Linked DNA regions of Nothobranchius furzeri. The protein of the gene in region 2 purifies or fractionates together with the protein of the main gene of each other region. This does not show direct contact. Links are inferred from orthologs where the notes say so. Each region holds a gene or a part of one and is shown on either strand. Other genes may lie near its edges.

What was found.
Region 1: the proteins of polr2d (region 2) and med19a purify together in Homo sapiens (affinity purification with mass spectrometry; 4 studies listed by BioGRID and IntAct, with this or other methods). This does not show direct contact. The link is inferred for Nothobranchius furzeri from reciprocal best matches to the Homo sapiens genes POLR2D and MED19.
Region 3: the proteins of polr2d (region 2) and crsp7 purify together in Homo sapiens (affinity purification with mass spectrometry; 3 studies listed by BioGRID and IntAct, with this or other methods). This does not show direct contact. The link is inferred for Nothobranchius furzeri from reciprocal best matches to the Homo sapiens genes POLR2D and MED26.
Region 4: the proteins of polr2d (region 2) and rngtt purify together in Homo sapiens (affinity purification with mass spectrometry; 3 studies listed by BioGRID and IntAct, with this or other methods). This does not show direct contact. The link is inferred for Nothobranchius furzeri from reciprocal best matches to the Homo sapiens genes POLR2D and RNGTT.
Region 5: the proteins of polr2d (region 2) and rprd1b purify together in Homo sapiens (affinity purification with mass spectrometry; 3 studies listed by BioGRID and IntAct, counting the BioPlex papers as one, with this or other methods). This does not show direct contact. The link is inferred for Nothobranchius furzeri from reciprocal best matches to the Homo sapiens genes POLR2D and RPRD1B.
Region 6: the proteins of polr2d (region 2) and rpap2 purify together in Homo sapiens (affinity purification with mass spectrometry; 5 studies listed by BioGRID and IntAct, counting the BioPlex papers as one, with this or other methods). This does not show direct contact. The link is inferred for Nothobranchius furzeri from reciprocal best matches to the Homo sapiens genes POLR2D and RPAP2.

Annotation. Positions count from the first base shown.
Region 1 is NC_091741.1:91,561,222-91,565,689, forward strand, and holds part of med19a (mediator of RNA polymerase II transcription subunit 19-A), read left to right. Parts: intron 1-1,812; coding exon 1,813-1,946; intron 1,947-2,029; coding exon 2,030-2,126; intron 2,127-2,207; coding exon 2,208-2,302; intron 2,303-4,468. UniProt on the Homo sapiens protein: Component of the Mediator complex, a coactivator involved in the regulated transcription of nearly all RNA polymerase II-dependent genes.
Region 2 is NC_091753.1:55,726,793-55,732,072, forward strand, and holds polr2d (DNA-directed RNA polymerase II subunit RPB4), read left to right. Parts: upstream 1-1,954; 5' UTR 1,955-2,133; coding exon 2,134-2,209; intron 2,210-2,403; coding exon 2,404-2,584; intron 2,585-2,656; coding exon 2,657-2,752; intron 2,753-2,859; exon of another isoform or gene 2,860-3,315; coding exon 3,316-3,394; 3' UTR 3,395-3,597; coding exon of another isoform or gene 3,598-3,817; 3' UTR 3,818-4,237; downstream 4,238-5,280. Other genes in the region: dual specificity protein phosphatase 14, read right to left, coding at 3,598-3,817. UniProt on the Homo sapiens protein: Core component of RNA polymerase II (Pol II), a DNA-dependent RNA polymerase which synthesizes mRNA precursors and many functional non-coding RNAs using the four ribonucleoside triphosphates as substrates.
Region 3 is NC_091751.1:71,980,186-71,985,503, forward strand, and holds the start of crsp7 (mediator of RNA polymerase II transcription subunit 26), read left to right. Parts: upstream 1-2,103; 5' UTR 2,104-2,311; coding exon 2,312-2,383; exon of another isoform or gene 2,384-2,480; intron 2,481-3,226; coding exon 3,227-3,301; intron 3,302-3,387; coding exon 3,388-5,037; 3' UTR 5,038-5,318. UniProt on the Homo sapiens protein: Component of the Mediator complex, a coactivator involved in the regulated transcription of nearly all RNA polymerase II-dependent genes.
Region 4 is NC_091742.1:9,448,427-9,453,247, reverse strand, and holds part of rngtt (mRNA-capping enzyme), read right to left. Parts: intron 3,428-4,821; coding exon 3,175-3,427; intron 336-3,174; exon of another isoform or gene 211-335; intron 91-210; exon of another isoform or gene 1-90.
Region 5 is NC_091755.1:32,651,465-32,657,029, forward strand, and holds the start of rprd1b (regulation of nuclear pre-mRNA domain-containing protein 1B), read left to right. Parts: upstream 1-1,865; 5' UTR 1,866-2,520; coding exon 2,521-2,671; intron 2,672-5,236; coding exon 5,237-5,366; intron 5,367-5,565. UniProt on the Homo sapiens protein: Interacts with phosphorylated C-terminal heptapeptide repeat domain (CTD) of the largest RNA polymerase II subunit POLR2A, and participates in dephosphorylation of the CTD by RPAP2. Transcriptional regulator which enhances expression of CCND1.
Region 6 is NC_091751.1:71,628,091-71,632,911, forward strand, and holds part of rpap2 (putative RNA polymerase II subunit B1 CTD phosphatase rpap2), read left to right. Parts: intron 1-3,431; coding exon 3,432-4,428; intron 4,429-4,821.

The DNA.
Region 1 (4,468 bases), on a different chromosome or scaffold from region 2:
GTCAACGATTCAATTTGATATCTCAATGCATCACGATTATTTCTTATGGGTTTACTTTCATCAATTAATAAAAGATGTCAGATATTTGCTTTTCTATCAAAACGTGTCTGACGCAACATGTCATTCCCCAAGAAGCCCTTCAATCACAACAGTCCTTAGAACAATGTAAGAGTGCAAAACATTTTAAACATTTAAAAAGATTTAACGAAGAAAACAAAATCTGTTTTCTCATTCAACACTTACATCTCAGGCTGTGGGGAAAAACAAGCTCTGCAAATGCTACCAACATCTTAATAAATACTGAAAACCTACAGGACATGTCCAATTCTTGCCTTCCATAGTTGACAAAATCTGTTATGGGGCCATGTAATAGCTTTGAAGGTCTTTGGAGCAACTTTAGAATCAAATATTTATGCTGCTGTTAAAAAACTGCATTATACAATAATTTATCATGGTGGGCCTTTTCAATGATTTGTAATTAATGTCTGCATCTTGATGCATCGATTATTGATTAATTTCCTCAGCTGTACCTGGTAAATTTCTGAGTTTACTGTGGACTTCAGAAAACACAATGGACCAACACCAGGAGAGGACATGGAGCCCAAATCATTAGATATCAACACCACACCTGGACTTGAGGCTTACTCTGCAACTTTTTCATATTTTTACATCGTTTTCTTTAGCCAGTATGTACTAAAATGACCCTTAGGGTGAAAAAAATGTCACTCAGACCCCCACCGCCCCCTGTGGCCAGAATATCACACTTGCAACTTGTCCGGTCCCTGATGGACTTAGTAAAGTGGAACTGACATGCTTCTTTAGCAATGACTTTCTATGGTTTCCCTTCCTTGTGGTAAAAAAGTTATCCGTGCATCCCTAATTTACATAATAGGTCAGATGAATTTTTTTAAACAAGTGACAAAATACTATACTTTTTCAGGATTTTCTACCTGTATTTGTCATCGTTTAAGCCAGGGGTGTCAAACTGAAATTCACTCTGGGCCAAACTGGAGAAACTAGAACAAAGTCATGGGAAAATGTTTATGGATGCAAATGCTTAAAATTTTCTTTATCTTCTGATTTGTGTTGTTGAATGTTTTATATGGAAACAAACCATAGTCTTGCATTAATAGTTACTCTGGAATAACCAAAGTTTAAAATTAACAACACACGGGCAGTTAACTTTGAAATAAAACACATCAGATGGAAACTGAGCAGAAGCCACAGAGTCAAATTTGAGCGTTTTACTACACCGGAGCTCATTTGGCTCCATTTGGAGGTTGCTTTCTGCGCTTTTCACGTCGGCCACAAATAGATTACTGAGCTGTTGAAATCTTGATATTTGGGCTTCAAAGTTGGCAAATTGCTGGGTGCTAACTAAGCAGTCATTTTTTTGTTTGTCTGAGACCGAATCTGTGGTCTCCAGGTCCGCAGCCGTACCCTCCTCGAGACTGGTAGCATGGATGCTGCTGATAATGCAGCAAAGCATTCTGGGATCTGTAGTATTGGCAACATATGCACTGGCAGGTCAGTTCTCGAGGGCCAGGGTTTGACTCCAGTGGCTTAAGCTATAGTTAATCTAAACCTGCATTCTGACAGGTGCTGGGACTTCTGGGCGCTCTAATGAATTAGACTTTGAGGGCTGAGGCTGTATCTCTAAAACCAAAAGTTTAACTTTCATTGTTTCTGATTTGTTGTTTTTTTTTAGCCTCTTTAATCTCACCTGGACTCCTCACTATGGCCTGTAAATTACACGGATCCCTTTCAGCCACGCTCTTTATTTCCACTTTTATAGTGTCTCTTTTGTTGCAGGTATGATCGACTGTCCGGGCACTCAGGACGGCAGCTCTCTGCGCTCTCTGATAGATAAGCCTCCCGTTTGTGGGAACTCGTTCAGCCCGCTGACTGGTGCTCTGCTCACAGGATTCAGACTACATACAGGACCGGTACCACAACACTGATTATGCCTGATAATAAATGATCATCTTATCCCCGTTATGTAACATGTAGTGTTTTTTTTTTTTTCCAGCTTCCAGAACAGTACAGACTGATGCACATACAGCCCCCAAAGAAGAAGAGCAAACACAAACACAAGCACAATCGACCACAGGACCCCCTCCCACAAGGTCTGGTGGCGTGTTAGTGAGGTCAGCTGAAACAAGTGCTACGTGTTTTTCACCACACTGACACGTCTGTTCTGATTTTAGAAACTCCGTCAGACTCTGATCCCAAGAAAAAGAAGAAAAAGAGGGACGATGATCCTGACCGCAAGAAAAAGAAGAAAGACAAGAAAAAAAAGAAGGTGAGAAAATTTTAAACACTAATTAAGTTTCTAGCTGGGCATTAAAAAGATTTAAAATGTTGACTCGGAATAGCATTGTGACATAAGTCGCACAGCAGTTTTGTTTTTTCATCCAGTTCTCAGTATTAATGAGTACACCCCCTTTGAAGAGTACAAATTTAATCAGTAGCTCAATGAACTAAAAAAATTTTCCAGAATTTTAACAAGGCTGGGTTTTATTAAACACTTGCTTAACTCCATAACATGAAATTAAGGCTATTAATATGACTTGGATCACAAAATCTTCAGTTTTGCTAAAATTGGTTTTAGCAAAAAGGAATACACCCCTCAACAAAAACTACTACATCAAGTCTTCTAGGCATGGCATGAACAAGATGGTGACATATTGCAACATCGGGCTGCATGGTGGCACAGTTGTTGCACTGTCGCTATTTCTGCGTGGAGTTGCGTGTTCTCCCCATGCATGCTCGGGTTTCCTCCGGGTACTCCGGTTTCCCCCACAGATCACAACATGCCCTATAGGTTATAAATTGTAAGTCGCTTTGGATAAAAGCGTCTGCTAAATAAATAAACATAAACATTAACATCTATCTTTTTCCATTCTTCAAGAATAACGTGTTTTATAATCTGGATGCTGGATGGAGAGTGATGCTCAACCTTCAGAATTCCCCACAGGTGTTCAGATCAGGAGACATACTTGGCCATTCAATCACCTTCACCCTGTTCTTCTTCAGAAATGCAACAGTAGCTTTAGATGCGTTTTGGATCATTGTCGTGGTGGAAACGTGCACAATGATTCAAATTCAATTCAATTCAAAGATACTTTATTAATACCAGAGGGAAATTGATTGCTGTAGTAGCTCAGAATAATAATAATAATCAAGTCATCAAAGAGTTATTGTATATTACAATGGCTGTTGGCAGGAAGGATCTCCAGTAGCGGTCAGTGTTGCAGCCAAACTGAAGAAGCCTCTGACTGAAGACACTCTTCCGTTGTCGGACAGTCTTGTGAAGAGAATGCTCAGGGTTGTCCATCATTTTCTTGATTCTCTGGAGAATCCTTCTTTGCATTATCCCCTCCAATGATCAAGTGCATGGAGTGATGGCTGCATCTTCTCCTTCAGTATAGAACAGGACATCGTTGAGTTCATGATGCCATCAATGAAATGCAGCTCCCCAACACCAGCAGCACTCATGCAGCCCCACATAAGGACACTGCCACCACCACCACGTTTCACTGTAGGCACCATGCATTTCTCTTTGAAATCCTCACCTTTACAACGCCATAGTTTTGAAACCATTACTTCCACAAACTGTGATCTTTGTCTCATCACTCCAGAGTACAGAGTGCCAGTAGTCTTCATCTCTTTCAGCACGGGCCCTAGCAAATCCTAGGTGTGCTTTTTGTGCATGAGCTTTAGGAGAGGCTTCCTTCGTAGACAATACCCATGTATGCCATTCCTCTGCAGTGTGCGTTGTATGGTGTCATGGGAAACGGTCACTCCAGTTTGGCTTTCTACTGCTTTAACTAACTGCAGTGAACTTTAATGGTGATTTTCTTCAGTCTTCAGAAGACGCTCCTTTTGAGATGTTCACTTCCATGGACGGCCTGGACGTCTCTGTAAGATGGTTGCACTTTCGTCTTTCTTACATTTTTTGGTCTTACATTTTTTGGTCACTTTTGCTACAGTATTCTGACTGATATGTAAAGCTTGGCTGATCTTGTAGCCCTCACCTTTTATGTGTAAATACATTATTTCCTTTCTCAGATTTTATGACATTTCTCTTCCATGTGGAGCCATTGCTGGCAGCATGAAATGGGAAAGGCTTTCTTTAAAGGGGCATTATGGAAGTTTGACAGCCAAAACATTTATAGAAATAATAAATTTCTTCTTCATACATTCTCCTGCAATGCCCTGGTCCTGTAGAATGAGCCCTGGCATTTTTACTGTGATTGCCTGTTTTTCTGTAAAATCACAGAAAAAGAGAGCTGCTCGGGTCGAGCAGGCTGCTTCGTGCGCGTTCACGCTCAGGCATCGCCCTCCGAACCGTTCTTTGAACGTTGTTTCAGCTGTCATCAAGGATATAAATGGTACAGATATGAAAGATGTCACTGGCGCTTTAGCTCGCCTAGAAAGATGTCGGACTTTCGTGCGGAAGACCCGG
Region 2 (5,280 bases):
TTTTATTGTATTTATAATTTAATTATTTTGCCATACCATATGTCTGATTTTGTGAAAAAGGATAATATAATGTGTTTTAGTTGGGTAAGCACCTTCCTCAGTAGAATTGAATGCACCAGGGACAAATTGAGACCCAACTAAGATGGCAGCCGGCCACTACGGCAGCTCGTATCGGTCCTTGTCTGGTGATCTATCGGGTGCTGTAGCGTGTTGCATGATAGGATAGCTAAGTGTATAAAAAAGTAAGCACTGGCCACTTTGTGCTGTGAGCTCATAAACCTGCAGAAAATGGTAGACTCCTGTTGTGTGAAGGGCTTCCGTGCTATCTTTACAAAAAAGACAAAAAAGTCAAATATGGGCAGGGGTCGCGTTAACTGGACATTCTCCGTGTTTGACCGTTTATTTTGACAGAAAAATCTCAAGGCTGCTGGTCATTCTGGCTAAAATCACCAGACGCATACGGGTGAGTAGACATTTTAAACATCACGCACAGAGATCATTGCGGAAGATCTATCAAGAAAAGATTCCCATCAGAACATCTGAGCATTATCTCAGACCTGGACATCATCAGCGCAGCTCTCTATCAGCTCCCTGAGGAGCTGTGAGAACGGCTCGGAGCGCGTCTGTGTCACAGGCCAGCAGCAGGTAAAATGTTCCTACCTTAAATTAAATTGTTTAATTGTAACATTAATATGTTGCTGGACACGCTGTTAGTTTGTTTAGACTAAATATTAATAAAAAAACGAATGAAAGTTAAATAGTGAATTTTTATGTGACAGAATGAAATGACTGTTTCCCCGTCTCCTCTGACACAGGACCAGTCTGCATGAGATATGGTCTCAAGGTCTCATGCATTTGCTTCTAACCTGCTTATTTTCAGCTCAACAGAAGAATGAAGAATGGACTATTTTCTTTTAATTAATCAAAGAACTCTATTTTAATAAAGCTAATCCAACAAAGTGTTAGTCAATAAATATGATGTGACCGATCTGTGAAATCAAAATATTAATTACTTTATTATAATCCTATAGAATATAATAAGTAATATGTATATATGTGTATATATATATGTATATATATGTATATATTGTGCCGTCGACCCAAGTGAGGCCGGTGTTCGGTCCGCCTCTGATGACAGTTGAACACGGTTATGACATTCAGGTAAAATCAGTAACCGAATAACGAATCGAAAGCAAACTTCTGCCATTAGACTTCAGTGTTGACATATTCATCCTTCCCGTTCGAAACTAACCGTAAGTTGATTTAGTCTAGAGCAGCTGGACAGTAGCTGGAAAAATGCAACCAGATGTAACGATCAGTTAAATGACACAATCGGTAAACCAAATTGAACATTGTCAATGTTTTAATAGGAATTTCTTGTGATGAACATCAAGTGTTGGTGGTATAGTGGTTAGCATAGCTGCCTTCCAAGCAGTTGACCCGGGTTCGATTCCCGGCCAACGCAAGTCCATTTTGCAGTAATTTCTTTTCTGTTACAGAAATATCCTGCAAAACAGCACAGGGTGCAAATACGCAGTCTAAATTACGGAGGAAGGGACAACGTCTCATTATAGTAATTTGGAATAACAGAGATAAAACATCAAACAGTTATCAGAAAATCATTGGTAATATGTCACCTATAAGCTGAAATCTGTGAAAGATCCCATATTAACCTCTTTTGCTGTTAACCGTTATTATTATGAATTTATTCATTATTATGAATGCGGATTTCCTAAAACTGCTTCCCCATCTTTAAAGCTTTTCTCAGTGACATGATCATTTATAAGCAGTTGATCTGAGCTAAAGCCCAGCTTGAGTAACAGTCTACCTGGTGGAGAACTTCATGCTACCCTAATTACTGCTTTTCTAATTAATTGTATTTAATTGGTTTTAAGTAGTTTTGTTGATCGTCTCGTCTTTGACCGTAGCAGGACCCTGGACCTCCGGTCAGCAGGGGGCGAACGGAGATCACGGGCGGAAGTAGCGGAAACAGCAGCAGCTAGGCGGAAGTACCGGTGTGTTTTTGTGTGACTGAACGAAACAGCGCGGGTTCTCTTCTTAAAATTCTTACCACGTGTGTCCAGCTCACGGTACCGAGACTCAACGGAACTCCGGAACGAGTCGTGGCCCGTTATGGCGGCCGGAAGCACGGCTCCTCCGCAGCTCGGAGACGTAGAAGAAGATGCGTCACAACTGTTGTTTCCCAAAGGTGACGACTACCGCCACCGCAGACCTGTGTTTGATACACCAGAAACGTGTGTGTGTGTGTGTGTGTGTGTGTGTGTGTGTGTGTGTGTGTGTGTGTGTGTGTGTGTGTGTGTGTGTGTGTGTGTGTGTGTGTGTGTGTGTGTGAATATAAAAAGGAAGTAGTATAGAGATCAGCTGTTTTAATTTCTGGTCCAGAGTTCGAGAACGCTGAGACCCTGCTGAACTCCGAGGTCCACATGCTGCTGGAACACAGGAAGCAGCAGAACGAGAGCGCCGAGGATGAGCAGGAGCTGTCCGAGGTCTTCATGAAGACCCTCAACTACACGGCCCGCTTCAGCCGCTTCAAGAACCGGGAGACCATTACTGCCGTGCGCAGGTTCGCCTTTCTTGCTTCCACTGATTTTCTGACCACCTTCTGGTTGTGACAAATCCACCATTTCTCCTCCAGTCTCCTGCTGCAGAAGAAGCTGCACAAGTTTGAGTTGGCTAGTCTGGCCAATCTGTGTCCTGAAGCTGCAGAGGAGGCCAAAGCCCTGATCCCCAGGTGAGTCAGGTAACCCACCTGGGGACCCACTGAATTATCTGCTCAAGGACCAGATAATTTAGGTGTTTCCAGGATTTTCCGTTTCAGAGGCGAATAAAACGATTACATTTTCTGTCTAAAACGTTTAATTTATTAGTAGGTGAAGAGCATTTCAAGCAATATGGCAAAAACACTTTTTTGAGACTCTAATTGATGTTGGTAACCATATTTATATTAGGATCTGAGAATGTTATCTCTGTAGTTAATTTTAGGGTTAATGTGTTGTTATTTATCTTTTGAAAGTGTTTTCTTTGAACAGCTGGGTTTAAAGCTTGTGAACACGCATCCTGCTCTGAGCAACAGGAAGTTCTAAACATGGAACAAGCTTGTTCCCATTCATTCTGGGATTTGTACTTAAACCCGGTCGCGTGCTAGCTCTACACAGCTTCATAGTAAAGCACTACAGATGGAACCGGTTCTGGTTCAGTTCAGCCCACATACATGTGGACCGGGTCAAAGACCAGGATCTGTGTAGAGAACTGAAGTTTCTGTCTGAATAAAGTTGGGATTGAATCTGTTTCCAGTGTGGAGGGTCGGTTTGAGGACGAGGAGCTGCAGCAAATCCTGGACGACATCCAGACAAAGAGGAGCTTCCAGTACTAAGACCAGAACCGACCCGCCGTGCTCTGCGATAATTTCTGCCCTTTTTTTGTTTTTGTTTGTTTGTTTCATGTTGGTTTTTACTCCTTCAAGTTCCTGACACCAATCCATACTAGATGGACAGAAGAGCTGGATGAAACCAACAGAGGAACATCTGCTTCCATGTTGTTTCCTGTTGGACCAGGTTCTGTCCCGTCAGCGCCTTGTCACACATTGACGCAGTACACTGCAGCACCCGTCTCCTCTGGCTCTTGTATTACTTCAGGCAAAACCCCAGCAGATGTCCTCACCATCTGCATCGTGTTCCTGGTAAACAGGAGCTTCTCGTAGTTCATCAGCTGCCTCCAGAACCCGGCGTTGGGTCGGATGAATGGCCGGCTCTCCAGAACCAGTTTGTAAGCCTGACGCAGGCTGAGACCGGTACCCCTAAAGAGACACATACCAGAACCATCAGACAAGTGTTAACCTGAGTGAGTCCCAGACAAACAGAACCAAACATAGCTGCACGGCACCCCCTGAGACCCCAGAGCAAACTTGGTGCTTCAGCTTGTCTTGTCTGGATTTCTATTGCCCTGAAAATAGGATGAAAGTATCCAGTGGTTCACGATTAGCTTCCAAAGTAAAAAAAAAACACCTTTCATCACACCTTCACAGTTTAGAGTGACACTGCACATCCAGGACCCTTATTTTGATTGATGTAGAGATCGCATAAGGAGTTTAATCTTAGCCTTTGTGTTTTTTATGACATTGAGCCAGCACAGCTAATGCAGTGGTGCAGATTGATCTATGTTGTATTTTGTTGTGCAAAACAGAAAAATAAAACCAGTGAGGTGGGTGTGAGTTAAAGAGCTTCCATCGTGTGTGTGTGTGAGGTCAACGCTGCCACCACCATCACCAACCAGGAAGCATAACGTGTAACATTATTAAAATATGGAGAAAAACCCGACTACGGCTGTAGCCGATTAAAGCAGGGATGCACAATATATCGTAACAGCCGATGTTAGTGATTTTTGACATATCGGTATCGGTCCGATGACTAAAGCTTGGTTTATGCTTGACGCATTTACTTTCCGCTTGGTGATGCGGCTCGCGGATGGAACGCGCTTCACAACTCGCAGCGTTTATGGTTCATGCGGCTCGTCTCTGCGGTGAGCCAATATTCTCCCAAACTGTAGGGGGCAGCATGGAGCTCTACGGCATGCATCCAACACTACACCATAGAAGTAAAAACTCATGTTGTTTACAACATGGCATTCCAGCATTTTTTAACAGCGTCCTCGTCTTTTCCGACAGTGTGAGCTATTTCTGTCCAAGAATTATTAACATGTTGATCACGGTGACCTCTGAGAGCTGAATCATACAAATGTCTGTATTTATGAACCTCTGCCATACTAGTTCTTGCCGGTCCGCCATGTTTTTCCGCGTCCGACCGTCCGCGTGGTTAGAAATTTTCCTGGGTGCGCGGTGCAGAAAGTTTGGGCCGGGTGGAGGGGCGTGGTTGTTAAAATGACGCAATTTAGCCACGCGAACCTCGCGGACGTGTCAAGCATAAATCAAGCTTAAAATTGGGCCGATATTAACAACTTATATTTTTCCATTTGCTTATCTTTTTTTTTTGGGGGGGGGGGTATTTGTTCTGTCATGTGACAGTCATTGTAATCATCTCAGAAACGTAAAGGTGTGTGGTGTTTGTAACGAAAATTCAACTTTAATAATTTTCATTCTACACAAAATCTGCTGATTTTAGACACATTATTGTCTGTATATTGATATCGGCCCATATTGATTGTCGGCCACAACAGTGATATTAATATCAGTATTGCCGCATCACTAGATTAAAGTGTTTAAGCTTTAAAAATAGAAATATAGACATTTGTTTTTTTTTATAG
Region 3 (5,318 bases), on a different chromosome or scaffold from region 2:
CTGACCTGTATTGGAATGTTTACTGTGTGCAGGTCCTTGAGACGACTCTGGTCCTGACGTGGGGCTATGTAAATGAACTGAATTTAGTTAATTAACCTTAAAGTTTGATATTCCCACGTGAAAGACTAAACAAATCAGTAGCCAGAATAAAAATTTTTACTTTAACTTTCACAAAAATAACAAAGTGCTGAGGTGTTGGTATTTCTTTATGCTCGGAGTTCAATAAAGTTCTAAGAAACCTTATGACCAATAACCAATGACAGCTAACCTGGCAGCAGCCAGATCTCTATGTGTAGCCCCGCCCTGTGTCCAGTCTACACTTTCGATATGGAATCTCTGCAGCAGAAACCGGCATATGCAACTTTTGTTCATTTCAAGTAGGGTTCACTTTTGCCAGGTGGAGTTCCCCTCTTGGTCTAATGACACAAAAGCAAGCTAGCAGTAGCCGGTCACATCTGTAATAATTAAGATGAATTCCCATATTTAGCCGTCATGCTTCATACAGTTTCAGGTGTCTTTTTTCCTGTTTGTGTGGCGAGATGGGCTGAGCCCACCCACCTGTGTGACCAGGTAACAAGTACGGGGGCCTGCAGCAGCCAAAAAATCCCTCAAAACTACCATGAATCTTTCGCTACGAACAAATACGAGTGAACACTCGGATTCCAGCAATGCTTGCTCTCACAACTCCATACGGCTTCATCAACGTACGTGCAACAGATGTGCTGACGTCATCTAATTGGAATGTCATGATTTGTTTTTGTGGTCAAGGAAAAATGATCAATGGGACACGAAATACGCGTGAAACACAACAAGCATGCCTGACTTTTGTGCTTCTTATGGATGCTCTAATAGACGATGTCTTCAGTCACGGCAACGTGTCATTCATACGATTTAACAATAACAAACATTCAACTGTGTTAGGCTGATAAGTCTCTGTCATCTGCTTTGCTTTTGAACTATTATTCATTCAGATAGTGTAAAAAAAACGCTCAGTGGGGTCAGCTCTGAGGAAGATCGCAGACACAATCAAAAGTGTCAGCAGGTAAAAAACCTTCCCCGTGTTTCAAAAAGAACCTAAAAAAGCGGTCAGAAGAAAAACACAAAAGATGTTTGTAGTCTTTAGAAAAACTGCTGGCTCATCAAATCCCCCTGATTAATAAATACAAGGAATTAATGCCACACTTACTAATCATGATTACTTTAGGTAGACAAACTGTAGTTCTTGTCTGATTTCTCACCTGACACCGTGTTGTTCTATAGGCTTATGTAAAGTATGAAGACAAGCACACTGTCCAGTTACATTAGTAATTGTAATTTCAGGATTTGTTGTGCGGCGAGCCATGACCAAGCTGTCCTGTGATGTCTGCCGTGCCAGCCTGGTGATGATGCTGCATCTGCCTGTGATGACCAGAGCTACATTTGCTGTCTCTGCAGAACAACGGGGTCTTGTGGTCCCATCTGAAGGTGCTGTGAGGGTCATCAGAGCAGCAGAGTGGGCAATTCGCCAGGCATCAGTGGGCAGACGATCACAGCCCATCAAACCACTGGAGGTCATCTACATCGTGCACAAGAGGATCGGGTCAGAGGATGTGTTTTTGCTCGGGGAGCTCATCAGTGAGACACCGTACGGAACTGAGTGTCACTCCCGTACACTGTTGACATCTGTTGTCTCCCTGTTCTTTAAGCTGAGGATGCACCACCTTGCAAGATTAGCCACTCGTAGCTTTCAGTGTGACAGCATGAGCCAGAAGCTCTCAAAAGCTGTCCTTTTCACAGGTCCGTAGGAAATCACAATGTGCTTTAGCATCTGTCTTAGATCTGTTATTTTTATAATCACAAACATGTATCATCTGTAATAAACAGGTTTTTCATAACTGTCAGTCCGTCATTCAGTCCACCAAGTTGCTGCATAAATAAACTTGAATTTAATTTAATTTAAACGTTTCATATAAAATCGGTCAATCAAATATTTACTGAAAAACAACTCACAAAGTTTATATTTAAAAACGTCACTGTGGTCGGGATGTTTACTTGGTTACGTACGAACGTGATGACGTAGACACATCGTATCCCAGCATGCAGCAGGAGGCCGTTGAGGCATCCAGCAGTTGGTAGTGAGAGGAGGTCCGAGGCAGCAGCGACTCCGCTCCGCTCACATATTTCCGACTCCATGTGAGATCAACTCAGACCTACATGCGACAGAAAGCATGCTGCTCGGGCGCCCGACGTGTTCCCGAAGCGGCTTCTGAGTCACCCGGCTTTCGTTTTGGAGGATTCCTCCCTCCATCTCCTGGATCGCACCGAACAGGCAATGACAACGGTCTCAGCAACCCCGCAGCAGATGAAGGACCGGCTGCTGCAGGCCATTGACAGTCAGAGCAATGTGAGCAATGCTAAAGCTAACGCTAGCTTGTTTGCCTATCAACATCCACGCAGCTGTTCGGGTGGCACGTCGCTGTTTATACAAACTACGCTGAAAGGTGCGCTCGGCCTCGACACGTCGGATGTCTCGGTGACAAAAAGGCTCGGGGCGAGTTGACAGCTAGCATGCCAGCTAATTTAGCAGCAGCGCTGCGTTGATTGGACGGATATCTGCCGTTATGTAGCCTGTTAGCTGCTAACGTAGCTTAACACCAAAGCAGATTTGGTATAAAGGAGCAATCCAGTCGTTGTTTTACGAAATCATCTCATCTAAAGAAAAGTTTAAGTTATCCCAAACAGCACAGTTTTAGTGAAAATGTTTTATTTAAACAATCACAAAGTTTAGGGAACCAAGTGGCTGGAATAGCGTTGAGGAAATGCTCCTTCCTTCTAAAGTAAGTTAAATGCTAACTACCCTGACTAGCTAACACAGGCAGGTCCACCGACTCGGGCTAGGGCTGACGCTGTCGACAAGATGCTCGGTTTGCTCCAAGTTCATAAACCTTTGCTGAGATGATTCCAGGTATTTTTGAGTGTCTCTGTGCCACATCAGCTTTGCAACATCGTTCGGTTTCTGGAGCTAAACATCCAGCTGAGTTTCTCCCGATGAACATGTTGTTTTCCACCCCGGAGTCAGGGAGCAGTTAGTCCAGATCTCTGGAGTTCCTGTTACTGTGGGAATGTGATTGGGTGGGATTGTCCAGTGTGATTACATTTTCATCCACAGACTACAGCTGTAAATCTAAATATTACTGCCACCAGTAGAAGCTGGGGGTTACTAACTGCTGGCATGTCCTTGTTGCAGATATGCAACATGGTGGTTGTATTGGAAGTGATCGCTTGTCTTGAGAAGTATCCGATTACCAAAGAAGCACTTGAGGTAAGAATGAACGTGTCATAGGCGGTTAATGCCTACAGAGGCTGTGGTGCCAAAATAGTTTTCACTTTTTAATTATTTATTTTCAGGAAACTCGACTTGGAAAACTGATTAATGATGTAAGGAGGAAAACCAAGGATGAAGACCTTGCAAGGCGTGCAAAGAAACTCCTGAGAAACTGGCAAAAACTGATTGAACCTGGGCCGGCTGTTTCAGCAAGTGTCCCGGGGTCTACCAATGGCAGTTCCCATCCCTGCAAAACCGATCCCTCTCCCCCTGACATTTCTGTATCGGGGAAAGCGGTCACAGAAGTCACAATCCGAAGTGATGCTCACAACACATACTCGCCTAAGGCTGAGAAGTCAAGTAACCGCAAGCGGCGGGCAGAGCACAGAGACAGTGGCGTGTACGTAACAGAAAAAATCTCCAGGTTGTCGGCGTTTGATGACTCTGTTTCTCCGCCACCCACCAACGGGACTGCTGGTGGTGCCGATGCGTTGGCCGACCAGGAGGTCGTTCCTTCTCCTGACAGGCCTCGGACAGACCACCTTGAAAATGACAAAGGAAACAGAATTCCAGTTAATGCTGTCAAGCCCCGTCCCAGCTCCCCTGGCATGGCCAAAGCACCTAGCACTTCCTCGTTGATTAAAGTTGCTGTGATGCAACAGCAAGCTAAACTGGAAGAAGGGGGCGGGGGCTATTACCCAGCGAGGAGTCCCCGCAGTCTCACTTCCAGTCCCAGGAGCCTAAAGCAAGACCCCGTTTCTAAGCGTTCAGCGTACGTAGCAAAGGGAACGCCGGTCCCCAGCCCATCTTCTAGAGACTCCCCCCTGTTCTTCTCCCAGCCTCTGTCCTCCCCAGCACCGGTGTCTCACAGTGAAAAACTTTCTTCTCTTCGGTCTTCAGTGCCCTCTGCTAATTCATCAGAGGTATTCTCTCATTGCTCTCCCCAAGATCTATCTGCAACACTGGATTCCCCCTCCCCCCCGCCTCCCCCGCAGAACTCAGAGGTCCACAGGTTGGTGGTTGAAAGAAGCTTAAGTGTGTCTGATGACCCTGATGGGCCAGTCCTTAACTCTGAGCATAAAAGGAGGAAGTACAGGCCTAGAGACTACTCCGTTAACTTGGATGGCCTGAAACTAGAGGACACGACTAAACCTGTGCGGTTAAAAGAACGCAGACTGACATTTGACCCGGTCACTGGTCAGATCAAACCTCTGGTGCATAAAGAACTTTCTCCAACAGAGGACCCCCCCACTCCGGACCTGGGAGAGTCCAGGCAGAGAACTGAAGTCGTTGTCCAACAGCCCCCTTGTGCAGCCCCCGCCCCAGGTCCCAGCTCAAACCCCTTCCACCAGACCAACTGGAAGGAGCTGACTAGAAATGAAATAATCCAATCCTACTTGAACCTTCAGAGCAACGTGCTCACCTCCTCGGGGGTCCAGGCCCCTAGCGCACACTTCTTCATGTCAGAATATCTAAAAAGGGAAGAAAGGGAGACTAAAGACTCAAATAAAACACACGTTTTGCAGACGGACCATTTAACAGGAGATTTACCAGGTGTGAGTCGGGAGGTGACGGATGAGGACCTGGACAGAATACACACACAGACCTGGCAGGGGGTGAACGGTTGTTACGACACCAAGGGAGCCTGGTATGATTGGACAGCGTGTATATCACTGGACCCTCATGGAGACGAAAGCAGACTGAACATCCTGCCATATGTGTGCCTGGACTGAGGGCTTTAGAACGGCTGCTGGTTCTTTTTCACCTTTTGTCTCGATGGAGACGAGATCCTTTGTGATTTTGTTTGTCTGCTGCGAGTTTGGTACGAGCCCAGGCCGCTCGACTCCCGTCGCCACAGCTCCGCCTGTGAGAGTGTTGAGACTTTGGTATGAAACCTAAAGAGTTAAGTTTTAACATCAAGGGCTGTTTGAGTTTCAGTTTAAACCAAATGAACCACTGGTAGTGATGAAGACGTTAAGAGGACTTGGGCTGGACTAAGCTAGGCTTGCTGGTC
Region 4 (4,821 bases), on a different chromosome or scaffold from region 2:
AAAAGAGAAAACCAGGGAATTTATTAAGCTTAGGGCGGAGATGGACCACATGATCACCGGAGCAAAGTATTCGGCGGCTGTGGCATGGAGGTACAATAACATCTCATATTTTAAAAACTCGTTTGAGTTTATTTTTTCTGCGAAAACAAGAAAGGAATAACCCGTTGTCCTCTTTTCTCTTCCTGTTTCTTTTCTTACATGTTTGTTAAGACTATTCTGGAGAAAATGGGCATCCAGGGGAAGGTGCCAGCGATGACCAGCTTCTGGAGCTGATCAGGGAGGACATGAGGCTGCAGATGGAGGCAGAGCAGCAGAGGGCACAGGAGAGAAGGGAGAACTTTGACAACTTTTTACTTTGCTAGAAAAAAATGGTTAATAAAGATTAAACATGTACATATAAAAGAAATATCTAAATAAAATCAGTTCTGCATTAAACTCTTGAATTTTATTTTTGTTTACAAATGAGAATTGTTCAATATTACCGGGTATCCGCTGGGTCTTAAAGTCTTAAAAGGTGATAAATTGGTTTTGGTCAAATTAAGACCCTTAGAAAGTATTAAAAACTATTATCACATCTTTGCTCAGGCTCAGCTTGTCTAAAGTATTTTCTCTGAATTAGCTCTCCAACAGTCAAGGAAATGATTAACCCCCAGAGACCCACGGTTGTAATATTACAACATCAGATTTAAGTCTACAAGAATAAACCTTCCCCATTTTTTTTCTTTTTTAAAACTACATTTACATTGCTAATAGGTCCTATTGTTCAGTTCTGCAACACTATTGGCTGTTAAAATGTGTAAATAGGCCCGTTTATCTGGCCTCCTAGAACAACATGTGAAAGGTTAAAAAAAGATTTTGCAGTTGTTTTCTAAATTTGGGTTTCTGGGGGTTAAAAAGCTAAATAAAACGTCGAGCTCCATCGTTTAAAGTTCCTTCTCCCTTCTGCCCAGCGGTTCCACGGTTGCTAGGCGACGGAACGTTCGCGGAGGGAGTTCATGAAGGCTAGGCCTGTCCAAATTCACAGCCGTTAACATCCGGTCTACCCGGCCGACGGAGGACCCAGCCCACGTCGGCCGAGTGGGCTGGGTCCTTCGAAGGATGCAGACCCTGAATTGAGACACAGCCGTTGTTGATTCCTGGATGCTAAAACAACAGCCTTCGCCGTCGCAAGCCAAGATTGGATCTGTCAGTGTTTTTAAATCCTAAGGTTTTACCAGCTATTTTCTGTCAGAAGCTAATGCAGGAGATACCGTAAGCAGCTGGAATCAGCTTCCTCAATAGGGCGGCCATGTTTGGCCTTCAGTGAGAAGCTGAGGAATGTTAGAGCCGCTGCTCCTCCTGATCAAATGGAGTAATCAGAGATGGTTCGGGCGTCTGACCAGTAACCGGACTCTGGAGGTTTGCCAGACACAACGACTTTTTAACAAAAATAAAACTGATTGTTTTTGTGGAGCCGAGTAAAACTGACTGAAAATATATCAAATTAACTCAAAATAATTCTACTTTAATACTATTTACCTTTTATCAGCATTTTGCCTCTCATCCTAGAGGTTTCTTCAGTTCCCATACTTTGGTTGTGGTCAGAAACAAAAACACTGATCAGCAGAAGCTCCGGAGGGGGAGCGGGTTGTCCAGCAATCGGAAAGTTGCTGGTTCAATCCCGGCTCCGACCAAATAATGCTGCTGTTGTGTCCTTGGGCTAGACACTTAACCCTCCTCGCCTGCTGGTGGTGGTCAGAGGGGCCAGTGGTGCCAGTGTTCGAAGGTCTCGCCTTGGTCAGTGCGCCCCAGCGCAGCTGTGGCTACACTGTAGCTAATCACCACCACCAGCGTGTGAATGGATGAATGACTGATTGTGTTGTGAAGCACTTTGGGGGGTTGTTGAGCCCCAAGAAGGCGGTATACAAATACAAATTGACCATTTCCTTCTTTCTTGCTGGCTTTTGTCTAAACGAAGGTGATGTTATTGTTCATAGAGTTAAAATTCATGTTGAAGTTCAGATTATTTCATCAATAAGATGTGTGGTTAGCTCGCTCATTTAATACATGAAATGTTTTTGGATCCTGCCTCTTGAAAGAACCGTAATCGTGAACGGATAGTAACCGGAATCGAAACAAGGAACTGGAATCGGAATCGTTCAAATATCCATGAGTAAAGATTTGGTCCTTTTTTCAATAAACTAGGTTAATTTAAAGAGAAAATCCCAACAGTAACTTAAAATGGTCTTGTTTTGATAATAAATAATCGATAATTATTTTGGATAATTAAAAATCTCCAGTTTGTTTAACAGAATTAAAACCTTGCTGCATCATCCTACTGTGAACTGTTCATAATATTATAATAATTATGAATTGCTTAGCCTTACGTGACTTCCTTATGTAATTTACCATCAGCAGTATATTCTGGCTTCCTCTTAAATGCTTTGTTAGAACAGAGTGCAACAGACTGAGACCGGGATCTAATCTCAGATTAAAAATCTCTGAGCGAGAAAAGCTTTCAAACAAACTGTGACCATGCTCTGAAGACCTGACCTCCACGGTCCCACAGAGCTGCTGCAGAGGGAGCTTTAGATGACCACAAAAACAATCGCACACGCCATTAAAGCAGCATCCCAGTGGCTATAACTCCACAGCACAGCCAAACCGCCTCAGACTAGTCGAGACGAGCTTCTCAGCCAACAGACAGTAGTTCTTAATGAAAGCTGCAGACTGAAGAGCTGCTGCAGCGACGACGGCGCTCTCCTTCTGATCCGTCTGGTGCATCGCATTCTCGGCTATTAGATTTGCCTTGATTCAGCTCTTCAATAAGCTCTGTGTGCAATAAAAGTGACAAATGCAAGTTCTGTCCATGTGTTTTAAACAAATGTGTCACAGCGGCGAAAGTTATTTACTTTCTTCCGTTCCATCCGTCGATAACAGCTCGTTATCTCACTGGCTGGGCTTTAAATGTTCCAGGCTGGACTGAAACTAAACATGAGTAATGAATTAGACTGATTTTAACTTAATGAAAATTACAGCTGCAGTAAAGGAGCTGCGGTGGACTGGCTCTCTATCCAGGGTGTACCCCCCCCCCCCCCCCCCCCCCCCCCCCCGCGCGACCCTACGTAGACAAAGCAGGTTCAGACAATGGATGGATGCAGTAACAGAGTTTTTATTTGTGTTTTTGCTTCCTACCAGCTTTAGCTTCTCTTTCTTTCTTTTCCCAGGGGCCGACCCCGAGGAGCTGGGGCCAGACTCCTGACCGACCGTGTTACCGTCATCGTCCCCTTCGTCCTCGTCGCCGTCGTCAAAGCACCACTCGGGCAGTTCAGGTGCAGGGGGTGTGTCCTCCACATCACCATAGCGACAGAAAAGCTCTTTGAGGTAGTCCCCCTTATAGATCCCAGGGGCCCGTGCCTGGGCGAAAGCAGCTACAGCTGCCTCCACGCTGATAAGGAAAGGCAGAACAGAGAGGAACATTTACTGTAGACAAAAGAAATACTGACATCATATGTTTGGTGGTTTTAGCTGGGACATGCCTAATAATAATAAAAATTAACTAATCCAAATTAAATATAGAAATTTCTTCATTTCCTTTATGCTTTTATATTTTGCTGAAGGCTCTGGATCATTGTCGGTCAACACCTCACAATTAACTCTTTTATTTGACTCATTGGGAGTCAGGTATTTTCTTACGACTGCTCATCATTTTGAAGTTGTTTGAGAGTAAAATAAGATTTCCAATCTCAGTCATCCGCCAAGAAGGGCTTTAACATGCAGCTGAATCATAAAATCATATTAAAGTGTACGTTTGTGAATATTTTAATGGATCAAACCAGACGAGATTCTTTACCTTTTGTTTGAAACGGTCTGCTAGTGTGCTGTAAAATAATCCTGCATTAGCTATGCTCCTCATCACCTGTTTAGGTCTGACGGTGTCCCATCTGTTGCACCGATCTCCACCGCATCGACGACATTTCAACTATAATATCCTTTTGAAAATGAAATGTGCTTTCCTTACGGAAAATAAAAGCATGTTTGCCATGTGCCTGAGCCACGGCTGTTGTGGACAAGCTAATCCTGGAAGCCGTTAGGGAATTACTGCAACATAGTTAGGGCAATAATACTTACAGAAGATCATTTTACGGCAAAAAGCAAAAATGACAAAGCAGAAGGCTTTCCTAAAAAATAAATAAATAAAGATGTGTTCTCTCCGACTGAACGGCTTCACCACAAACTGAAGTCACCATCTGGTCGGTTCATCTGACTGGTTCATGCTGGACTGACAGACGACAGCAGACTCATCGTGTCAGCAGTCAACGTCTTCTCTCTTCCTTTAGCCAGCGGCTTCCAAACACGACCTTCTGTGCAGCCAAACATCTGGTGCATCAGGTTTGCCCCTGCTATTTCTCTAACGGATATCATTTTGTTTTTGCAGCCTGAGGACGGAGTGCTTCATCTGAACACAGCTCTTTAAACCACATGCTCTCTGTGAAAATGCTTCTACATGCAGATGACACGCTTAAACTTCAGGGACCAGATGCAGAAAACGAATCATTTCTACAGAATGGTGAAGACTTTAAAGGGGTCCTAGAACTCTAAACTACATTTACCTTGTTGTTGTTGAACATAGGCAGCTTGAGGTGTCTAAAGTAGCACACCAGAAAGTCTCTGACCAGCTTTACTACGCAAACTGACAATGGTGTAATGGCTGCTGAGAAACTGTTTGTTCGGAGAAAAGCTGGATTAGCATGTCGTCAGCATAGATACACACCCTTAAATCTGCACGCCCCAAACCCACTTCAGTGTCTGCAATATAGAAATGTTGGTGACAGTAACGCT
Region 5 (5,565 bases), on a different chromosome or scaffold from region 2:
TTAATGTTGTTCCTCTATTGAGCCTGGGGGAAAGACTAGAGTTCAAGGACCTTAAAGAGCAAGTCGCCCCCAAATCTACCTTTTTTGCTGATAAACTATATAAATGAGTGTCTAGTTGTGCTGCAGACATGTGTAGTCAATATTTTGGCACGTTAGTGCATCTTAGTTAAAATTTAAATATTCTGTCTAAAACTGTCAGTGTTGCACCGCCATGAGGTAAAAACTCTGCGCTACATTTGAATTTCAATCTGCCATCGCTATTGGCTAAGAGGTACGCAATGACATTAGCTGGTATATTATGATGTCACTATGCTGTTGTGAGCCTGTTTGTGTGTATTTGTTAGCGGCTCCGCCCTCTCGGTCTGCCAGGCAACAGCATTTGTTGCATTTTTCAAACATGAAGTGGAAGTAGAGTAAGTTTTTTTGTGTAGGGGGTGACTTGCTCTTTTATGAAGAAAAAAATATGTATGTATATATATATATATATATATATATATATATATATATATATATATATATATATATATATATATTAGGTAAACATGACTGACTGGAATTTTATCATCTTTTTTATTTAATTGCAGTCACAACTGAACTCAATTTACTGTAAACAATGAGCTTAGTTCTGGATCTGATTTGTTTTGGTCTTGTTGATTTTTTTGGTTATAACAGAGATCTCACTCCAGATGAAAACTACATTTGTTTTCCATCTAGTTTGCTGCCTATTGAAAAAAAATCTGTACAGGTGCACCATGGTTTGCATTTTGGTTGATATTTGAACCTCAAATGATAATACACATCTTTTGCACTGATATTTGACTGAAGGTCCATGTGTGCAGATCCCAAACCCATTGTTTTGAATGGAATAGTGTGTATTTTATCAGCCACAGTAAAAAGAAGGCAAATGATCATGAAAATTAGTTTGTTTTAACTCAAAGATCTGGGCTAAAATTTGAGTTTTGGTTTCCGTCAGAACAAATGTCTGGTGATTGGTAAGATAAACACACAGTTACTGTTTGTTCAGCTGGGAAACCAAAAGCAGCCGAGGTAAGACAAACAGCAGCTTTGTAAAAAGGTGATGCTGCCATTTAGAAAATTATTTATTAAGATGTACTTAAACTGCAAGAAGAGCATCCAAACTTGGATTACATTTGTCTCTTTCACAAGGCAAGTTATAATAAATGCATGTAGTTCAGTGTATGCTAGATTTGTAGTTTATGTTTTACAGTCATTTTCTTTCATTGTGAGCAACTGACAAATTATTATACACACAAGCTACAAGCGATTATCTAATTATTAATTTTATTTAATGATTTAAAGTGGACTAAAAGACCAAATCTAATGGAATCGTTTGCTTACAGAGTTGCAGGAATTGTGTTTTTACTATTATTTTTCTGACAATGCAAGTCAAGTTTTATTTTTAAAATGTACTAAATTTATTTTAATTTACTAATGTGGCAATTGTAATGACTGCATCATCACACATGAACCTAAAATGTTAACAGAACAATGGTGTAGTTTACGTTAGTTGCCACTTGGGGCGCCAAATCTCAATCTCCCCATTATTCTCAATAGTTAACAGAACAAGAGTGCAGCACCAGCATTATGCCACTAGGAAGCGCCAAATCCCCCATCTCCTTTTCTAAATTGATAACAGAATACTTGTGCAGTGTGCAGTTCCAGCTTTTCGCCACTGGTGGGAAATTAACAGCCCTCCTCCTTCATAAAAAGTCAATTAAAAAGTCCAGACAGCCATTTTGGTAAACACTTTACATGAATACAATTTTAATTATGTTTTAAGCCAAATAAATTGGGTGAGCAAACAAATATAGAATGATTAGAAACGTATTCAACTCTGTAAAAAGAGTTGTGTGTTCATAAGAGTTTGCAATTTTGTGTTTAGAGTATTTTACAGTGTATTTTGCCTTTGTTTTGCCAGTTCGATAATGCGCGGGTTCTGTCACGTCATTTCTCTGCGACGCACATGTCGAGGTGAAAGTGCAAGCTGCCATTTTTCGAGGCATTTTTTTCATGATTTAGGGCGAGAAACTTAGTTTGTGAGTTGTTTTTTAAATTATTTTTTGCTATTGTCTTTTATACATCATCGCTTGGAACACCTCAAAAAGGAATATTGTGGATTTTTGTGTTTGTTTTACGTAGTTAAGAGAAGAGGAGCTCCAGGGCTGCACTGTTCTGCAGATGGCTGCTTAGCTCGCCTAGCTAACGTTAGCAATCGCTGTAAACAAACAGCATTCAACAAAGATTCAGCAGCTACGCTATTGAAGCATCTTCAGCAAGTATTGGTTAGCTCTTTAGTTCCTTAAGTGCTTTCCTACCGTTAGATATATATATCTGTAACCGGCAGTAGAAAGCTGTCCAATGCTGTAAGTCTACGAGTTTAGCGACACAACTTGAGTTTTGATGACTGGGCGAGTTTCTCCAAAATAGCTCGGAGCTCGGTTGCTTTAGAGCCAGTGGGGGTCAGTTTTAGTGGAATTAGACACTCTAGAACCAGTTGGCATGTCGTCCTTTTCGGAATCTGCTTTGGAGAAGAAGCTGTCGGAGCTGAGCAGCTCTCAGCAGAGCGTCCAGACTCTGTCTCTGTGGATCATCCACCACCGCAAACACTCGGCTCTCATCGTCAAAGTCTGGCACCGAGAACTCAAAAAAGGTGAGATATAACAACAGGATCCTTGTCCGATCATAGCCCTGAATGAAGTTAAAGCTGTTGTAGGATGAGCTGGAGTCACATATTTCAAGCAGATTTTAACAAACGTATTAATAAGCAGATGCTTTTCAATTCTTCCAATGTTTACATCAAACATGGAAGAGAAAGCATAGAAAATAACTCCATCCATGCGGTATATTATTCAGGACGTACAAGTAGTATCAGTATCCATGTTTTGTTTTTGAGTAAGCTCTTGATTTACCGGTCGATCTACTTTCCAATCCTCATTTGTGGTCACAAGCTTTTGGTAGTGACCGAAAGAGTGAAGTTGCAGATACAAGCGGCCAAATTTAGTTTTCTCTGCAGAGTGGCTGGGCTCTCCCTAGGTGAGAAGCTCGGTCATCCGGGAGGGGCTTGGAGTAGACCTGCTGCTCCTCCACATCGAGAGGAACCAATTGATGTGGCTCGGGCATCTGGTCAGGATGCCTCCTGGACGCCTCCCTGGTGAGGTTTTCTGGCCACGTCCAACCGGGAAGAGACTCAAAGGAAGACCCAGGACACGTTGGAGGGACTATTGTCTGTCGGCTGGCCAGGGAACGCCCTAGAATTCCCCTGGAAGAGCTGGCCCAAGTGGCTGGGGAGAGGGAATTCTGGGCATTTCTGCTTAGGTTACTGCCCCCACGACCCGTCTCCGGGTACGTGGAAGACAACGGATGGATGAATGAATGTGCATCAGCTGTGAGAGCTGGGTTGCAATGATGATGAGTTAAGAGTCTTGAAATGTCACTTTTAAGTTAGTGACACTATCAATATCAACATCAAATAAATGTATTTTCTTTCATCTTTTTAACTCCTTAACGGCCAGTCATTTTCTGATCAGAAAAGCCCTTCGCTGCCAACGTTTTTCAGCGTTTTCACTGTTTATTTTTTAAGAGTCACAGAACATAGAGCTCTATGATGATGTCAACACCAACACTACCAGAAGAAAGAGTAGACTCACCTCTTACATCAGGAAGAATCCGCGTGTTTCTAGCGTTATCCGTTCTTTCATAATCCGTTGTCGAATTGTGATCGGCAAAAACTTTTCTGGTTCGCTCACTTTTTTTTACAACAGCGGCCCAAAACGATCTCCTATCACATGGGTTTTCTGCTTCCTGATCACGTGACATATAATGTACATGGATGAAGATCGGCTTTAGAGCTGGGATGTTTGTTCTCACGGTGCAGGAACTCGATCCGACGCCCACACAGTAAAAAAATGCAAATGACCACTTTTGTCGTCAGTGGCAGTTAATGAGTCAAATAGTTTCTTCTTGCAGATTCACTGTAACACAGTCATAAACAAGTTGCAGTAAACTAGATGAAGAGAAGTAGTGATGCACCGGCGCCGCTATGAAATTTTAGGGCCGATACCGATATTAAGATCACTGTTATAGCCGACAACCGATATTTGCCGATACCGATATACTGACATAAACTCATTCACTGCCATTGACGACTAAAGTCGTCATTTGCATTTTTTTAGTTTGAGCTTCGGAACGAGCCCCCGTGCTGAGAGAACAAACATCTCAGCCCTGACGCCGATCTTCATCTGCATACGTCACACGTCATGTGATCAGGAAGCAGAACATCCATGTATTAGGAGATCGTTTTGGGCCGTTCCTGTAAAAAAGTGAGGCGCGAACCGGAAAAGCGTCTGCCGATCACAATTCGATAACGGATTATGAAAGAATGGATAACGCTCAAAACACGCGGATTCTTCCTGATGTAAGAGGCGAGTCTACTCTTAGTTTTGGTTGTTTTGGCGTCGACATCATCCTAGCGCACAACGTTCTGTGACTCTTAAAAAAACTGTAAAAACGGTGAGAAACGCTGGCAGCGAAGGCCGTTGGCGATCAGGAAACAGCTGGCAGCGAATGAGTTTATGCTTCTAAAATCAACAGATTTTGTAAAGAATGAAAATTATTAAAGCTGAATTTACGTTATTATGTACACCCCACACACATTTACTCCTCTGAGATGATTTAATTCACTGCAGGGTTTCACCCAGCGCTTTATAAGCCTGGTGGCCCGCCAGGCTTTGCTTGGCCACCCGCCAGGCTAGGCGCCATGCCCGCCCCCCTCCCAGACCCTACCGTGTCCGCTGACACGAACGGCGCAACAAAACTAGAGTCCTCCATCAGCTGATACTGGTGAGAAACAGCAGCGGAACGTGTGCAAACCCCCCCCCCCCCCCCCCCCCCCGACTCCCGCTCTCACGGAGGAGCGCTGCAGGACGGAGCGTGCGACCAGGCTTAACTCATTTTCTGGGGGAAACCGTGCACTGTTCACATGACTAAACAATTACCCCCCCCCCCCCCCGAAACAGGCAAACAAATGGAGATGAGATGGAAAAAATATTGGTTGTTAATATCGGCCCAGTTTTATTTATCAAACCGATACGATATGCTTAAAAATGACTAGCATCGACTGATACCGATATTGATGCTGACATATTGTTCATCCCTAAAGAAAAGCAATGTTACAAACAATAAAATGAATGGAATGTATTTTTATGTGTTTCTACAGCTAAAAGCAACAGGAAGTTGACGTTCCTGTATCTGGCTAACGATGTGATCCAGAACAGCAAGAAGAAAGGACCGGAGTTCACCAAAGACTTTGAGACTGTGCTGGTGGATGCCTGTTCCCACGTAGCCAGGTACCTTTTAACACGGACATCAGTAAATGATGTTTTGTTGTTTGTGAGATGCATTTTTTAAACTAAACCGTTTGATTATTTAGATTTATTCAATTTGAATTATTAAAAAATTGTTATTTGGTCACATAATTAAAATACGCAGTTGCTGTCATTCTCTAGACTACTTCCAGGTAATTATAAATGTACTGTGTCTTCTAAT
Region 6 (4,821 bases), on a different chromosome or scaffold from region 2:
AAATAAAAATTTGGGCATCTTACTGTAAAAAAAATATACCATTAATGTAGTAAAAAATAATCTATGTTCACATCCGGAATCAAACCCGGGTCTTCTGCACGAGAGTTCAACATCTCACTAGGTGAGCTAGAGCACCAGTGACGTCCCTTGTATCTGTAACATTTATGTCCTTGATGACAGCTGAAACAACGTCAAACCAAAGAACGGTTCGGAGTGAAAATGGCTGTTTTGTTGCTAATTAGCAGGAAATATCTAGAAGAAAGTTCTACAGAAAGTAGCTAAGGGTCCTCAGAAATGTAGCTAGCTTTGTCACTAGGCGTTAGGAACAGCGACAAAGTGGCACTGCCTCTCTCTCTGCTGCTAAAGCTACGGATAGCAAATGCTACGGGCGATGCCTGAGCGTGAACGCGCATGAAGCAGCCTGCTCGACCCGAGCATCTCTCTTTTTCTGTGATTTTACAGAAAAACAGGCAATCACAGTAAAAATGCCAGGGCTCATTCTACAGGACCAGGGCATTGCAGGAGAACGTATGAAGAAGACATTTATTATTTCTATACATGTTTTGGCTGTCACACTTCCATAATGCACCTTTAACTAACATCTATTGGTGAGCGTCCTATTCACCACACTTTACTGGTCAGACCAACCCACGAGGAATCTGGTGTTCTGGCTGTGTCCTGCAGACTCCTCCTGAAGTGCTCCAGCATGTAGATTTAAAGACTCATCACGTTTTTATCCTGCGAGCAGCTCTATAGCGCCTTCTAGAGTCCTGGAACCCCCCAAGGCCCTTTACAACACAATCAGTCATTCACCTATTCACACCCTGGTGGTGATGAGCTACGATGTAGCTACAGCTGCCCTGTTAGGGTTAGGGGTTTGTCCACGTTGTTCTACGTGGGGGTTTCCACCCAGCTGGTGCCAGAGCCGATGCTGTGCAGGTTCTAAGCTGGTTCTTTTAAAGAATCGGTTCCCATCCCACAGACTGAGGACTTAGTTGCTGCTGTCATGATGTCGACCAAGTCTTAGGTGAGTTCTTGCTGTGTCGTATTTGCGGCTGCCGCAAACGAAACGTAGCGCAGGTAACAAAACTGTTCTGTGTTTTAAAAGAACTACAGCATGGAATGTCGACCAAGTGTTGAGACACACCCACATATACGCCTGCATGAGGACAGAGCACGTCTTTCTTGACTTCTGATTAACAACGTGTAACAAGAAATCTATAGAAACTCCATAAATAACTCAGAATAGAGTATAATCCCTCCGAGGGGAGATGTTAGCATAACGACAGCCATTAATTCTATTCAGTTTATTTTAATAGAGCCAAGGCTCTTCACACAATAAACATCCCAATCCAGGTCAGGTCGTTAAGCCAATCAGTAACAAGTTTCCTGTCTGAGGAACCCAGCAGGTCGCATCGAGTCACTGACTAGTGTCAGAGTCTTTACAGCAATCCTCATACTAAACAAGCATGCAGCGACAGTGGAGAGGAAAACTCCCTTTTAACAGGACTCCAGAGGATCCTGGCTCAGTATAAGCAGCCATCCTCCACGACTCATGACTCATTTCTGCTCCTTCAGCTCCACAAGGGAGAGGCACTGACAGACGTTTTGCATTCGTGCCGCCCCGTCCGCTGGGGATTGGTGCAAAACAACTCCCCGCCAGCACAACAGAGGGCAAAGCGCTGCGCTGAGCTTTGCTTCCACCATTTCAGTCACGTATCCGGTCCAAGATGGCGTATCTACTACTGTGTTTACATTGTTTTAATGTTTTTCTGAGACTTTTAACAAATTAGTCCCCCATACGCTTCTTTATGCGATCGGCACCTCTAAACTCGCGTATCTCGTCATTTCTGTCCACGAATAAACGTTCATATTTTCACACTTCCTCCACTACGGATTCTTCAATTTGTTCCGTGTCTGCCGCTAAATATCTTCTCACTTTTTGAGGGAGCCCAAGTCACGTCCATCTACGTCCGGACCCGGGGTCGCCGGCAGAATGAAAGAATGAATGCAAGAAAACGCTGTTTTCTAACTGCCTGTTTTGTGCCGTGGATTTCACACATGATGTCCGTGAATTTTAAAGATGCAGTTTGACACCAAGAAAGAGCTTATTTTCAAACGGGGCCAGCTCTGGGCCAGATCCGAGTGTGCTGAGTTTGGTACTTGCATTATTTATTAATGCTTCATCGGACTACAGACCTTCAGTGCAACAGTTATTGTGTAGAGGATCACAGCGTAGGGAGACAGTTCATCCACATAGATCTTAGGCTCGTTGTTCCTGAATGTAGATGTTTGAGTTTTATAGACTTGGGCTTTTGTTTGCAGAAGCTCATTTTACATCTCTGATGAGTGTTTGAAGAGGACTCACTCACAACCGTGAACTATAAACACCAGCTGGTGGTGCTAAACAGCTGATGTTTATCATTGAAGACGGTGGCTGAGGTAGCTCTAGGTGCTGCTCTGAACCAGCAGCAGGACGATGGAAGACGCCGGAGGATTTTGTCTTTACATTAATAATCAGAGTAAAGGTGAATCGATGGGTGTTTCTCACTGTCAAGGGACCTTGCCTTGATGTCTTGGCCCCGCCCCGGTTGCCTAGGAGATACGTCATCAGGAGCCGCCAAGACATGTTCCAGTCGGTTCCAATGTTCATGTTCTACCGAGGCGTTTGTTAGCCGTTTAGCTAGCTGAGCAAGGACACACGGGAGGTGTCTTGTAGCCTAGCCTTGGTCAAAAATTACCCAGAATACACCGCCATATTTTCTAAAGGACGGCGGATCAGCAGCCGGCAGCTACTTCAGGGACAATTTTCAAGTTTAAAAGTAAGTCAGCTCATTTAAAATGTTTTTCCTTTTAGATCCAAAGAAGTTATCTATGGTTGGTTAGTTGCTTAGTAGTTGCAGCTTCGGTGGCTAGCGGGTAGTAACTCACTTATATGTTTAATTTAATAAACATATACACAATTTAAAAACTCGTTATATATTTATATTGAAACTATTACGTATAAAATATAACGTTATCTCCCGTGTCACGTGACTCTACGTGACCGCCGTGGAAGCCGCGGTCACGAGATGCAAGTCTGTTCCATTTAACCGTTTTCTTTGACCAAGGAAGGACCGTGTCCTCGTGAGCAAGGCGCCTGGCATTGAGAAACACCCTAGCTTAGAGGTTCTAAATGCTTTCATTGGTCGTTGGTCTCCCTGACCCCGCCCCCAGCTTCTGAAACATGTTCGATAAATAAAATGATAATGAGAACAAACATGAATTATGTTTAGTTATAAACAATGGTGTGTGTGGGTGTGTGTGTGTGTGTGTGTGTGTGTGTGTGTGTGTGTGTGTGTGTGTGTGTGTGTGTGTGGGTTTGCGTGCGTGTGTGTGTGTGGGTGTGGGTGTGGGTGTGTGTGTGGACACCCCCCCTTCCCCCTCCCCAGTGGGCGCTATGGTGAGGAGGTGATGCTGTTGGAGAGGAGCCTCAGAGAAGACGACATCGAGAACCCACAAGCTTCTCCTCTTGAGGACCGTCCCGGCTCCCAGCAGATACCTTCAGGAGGTGACCACGGCGACGGCAGTGAGCAGGAGTTTGTCTCCAGTGTGCTCTCCCAGCAGCAGAGACCCAGGGTGCACTGGGGTGACCCCCCTAAGCCCTCAGATGAAGGAGAGCTAAGGAGGAAGCTGAGGAGAGGACTTCAAAGTGAACGTTCCAGGGAAACGGGAAACTCAAAAGAGGAAGAAGAACCAGAAGAAGAGGATGAAAGAAAAGAGCCAGCTGCTGAAGAACTAGACACTTCAGATTCTGGTTCGTCTCTTTGTGAGGATCAACATTTACCCAAGGACCGAGGTGTGAAAGAGGCCAGAGGCAGGGTGAAAGGGTGTAGTTTATCAGAGATGGTCGCTTCCACCAGCTCTCTGTCAGAACACACACCTTCACACACCTCTCCTCCTCCTCCTCCTACAGGAACAGAAACCCCAGCAGAAACCAAACATGGCCACCACAATGCAGCTTCATCAAACCAACCGGGTCTCAGCATCACCCAGGTGGGCGTGAGCAGGAGAGGAGCGGTCGGGCTGAGAGATCTGCTGAAGAACCACACTGGAGAACCTGACTCTGTTCCACTGAGTCTTCTCAAGTATCTGAAGAGAACGCTGAAGGAGTGGTGCACCGAGGAGACGCTCAAGTTCCTGTACGGTGCTGGTCATTCACTGGTCTCCACTTCCTCTAGTGAAGAGGTAGAACAGGAGGAGTTAGATGAAGATGATCTTGAGGATGAGGACGACGTGATGGTGGCTGAACAGAAGAGGCCCTCGGCTCCTGTACCCGACTGTAAGACTCTCCAGAAGGAGACTGAGCAGCTGGAGTTCAGAGTTCGAGAGTTTTACAGAGGGAGGTGGATTCATCTGGAGAAGGAAGAGGAGGAGAACAGGAACGAGGTGAGGAGGAGAAGGGTTGGTGTGTTTCCTGGTAGTCCACTACACGACTCACTGTTAGGATGATGACCAAAACTCAGTTGGCCTCAGGTTAGCATGTAGGTAATGTCCCGCTGATCTCCAGCTGTGGAGAACGAGCTGATCAGAAAGGCCAGGGCTCCCGGTCATGTCATTTGGAATCATAGTATGTCCAAGGAAGGTCTTTGTTGTGATATGAAGTTTGTATATTTATATACTGCAATTAAATAATTTAATTACCTGATCTTGTATATTTATACAATCTACATAATTAATCAGAAGTGGTCGTTTTTATCATCAGGGAGTTTACTTAAACACTCTGTATTGACTGAGAGACAAGAAAGAGAGAAAGTTGGGATCGTTTAAGAATCTTTAATT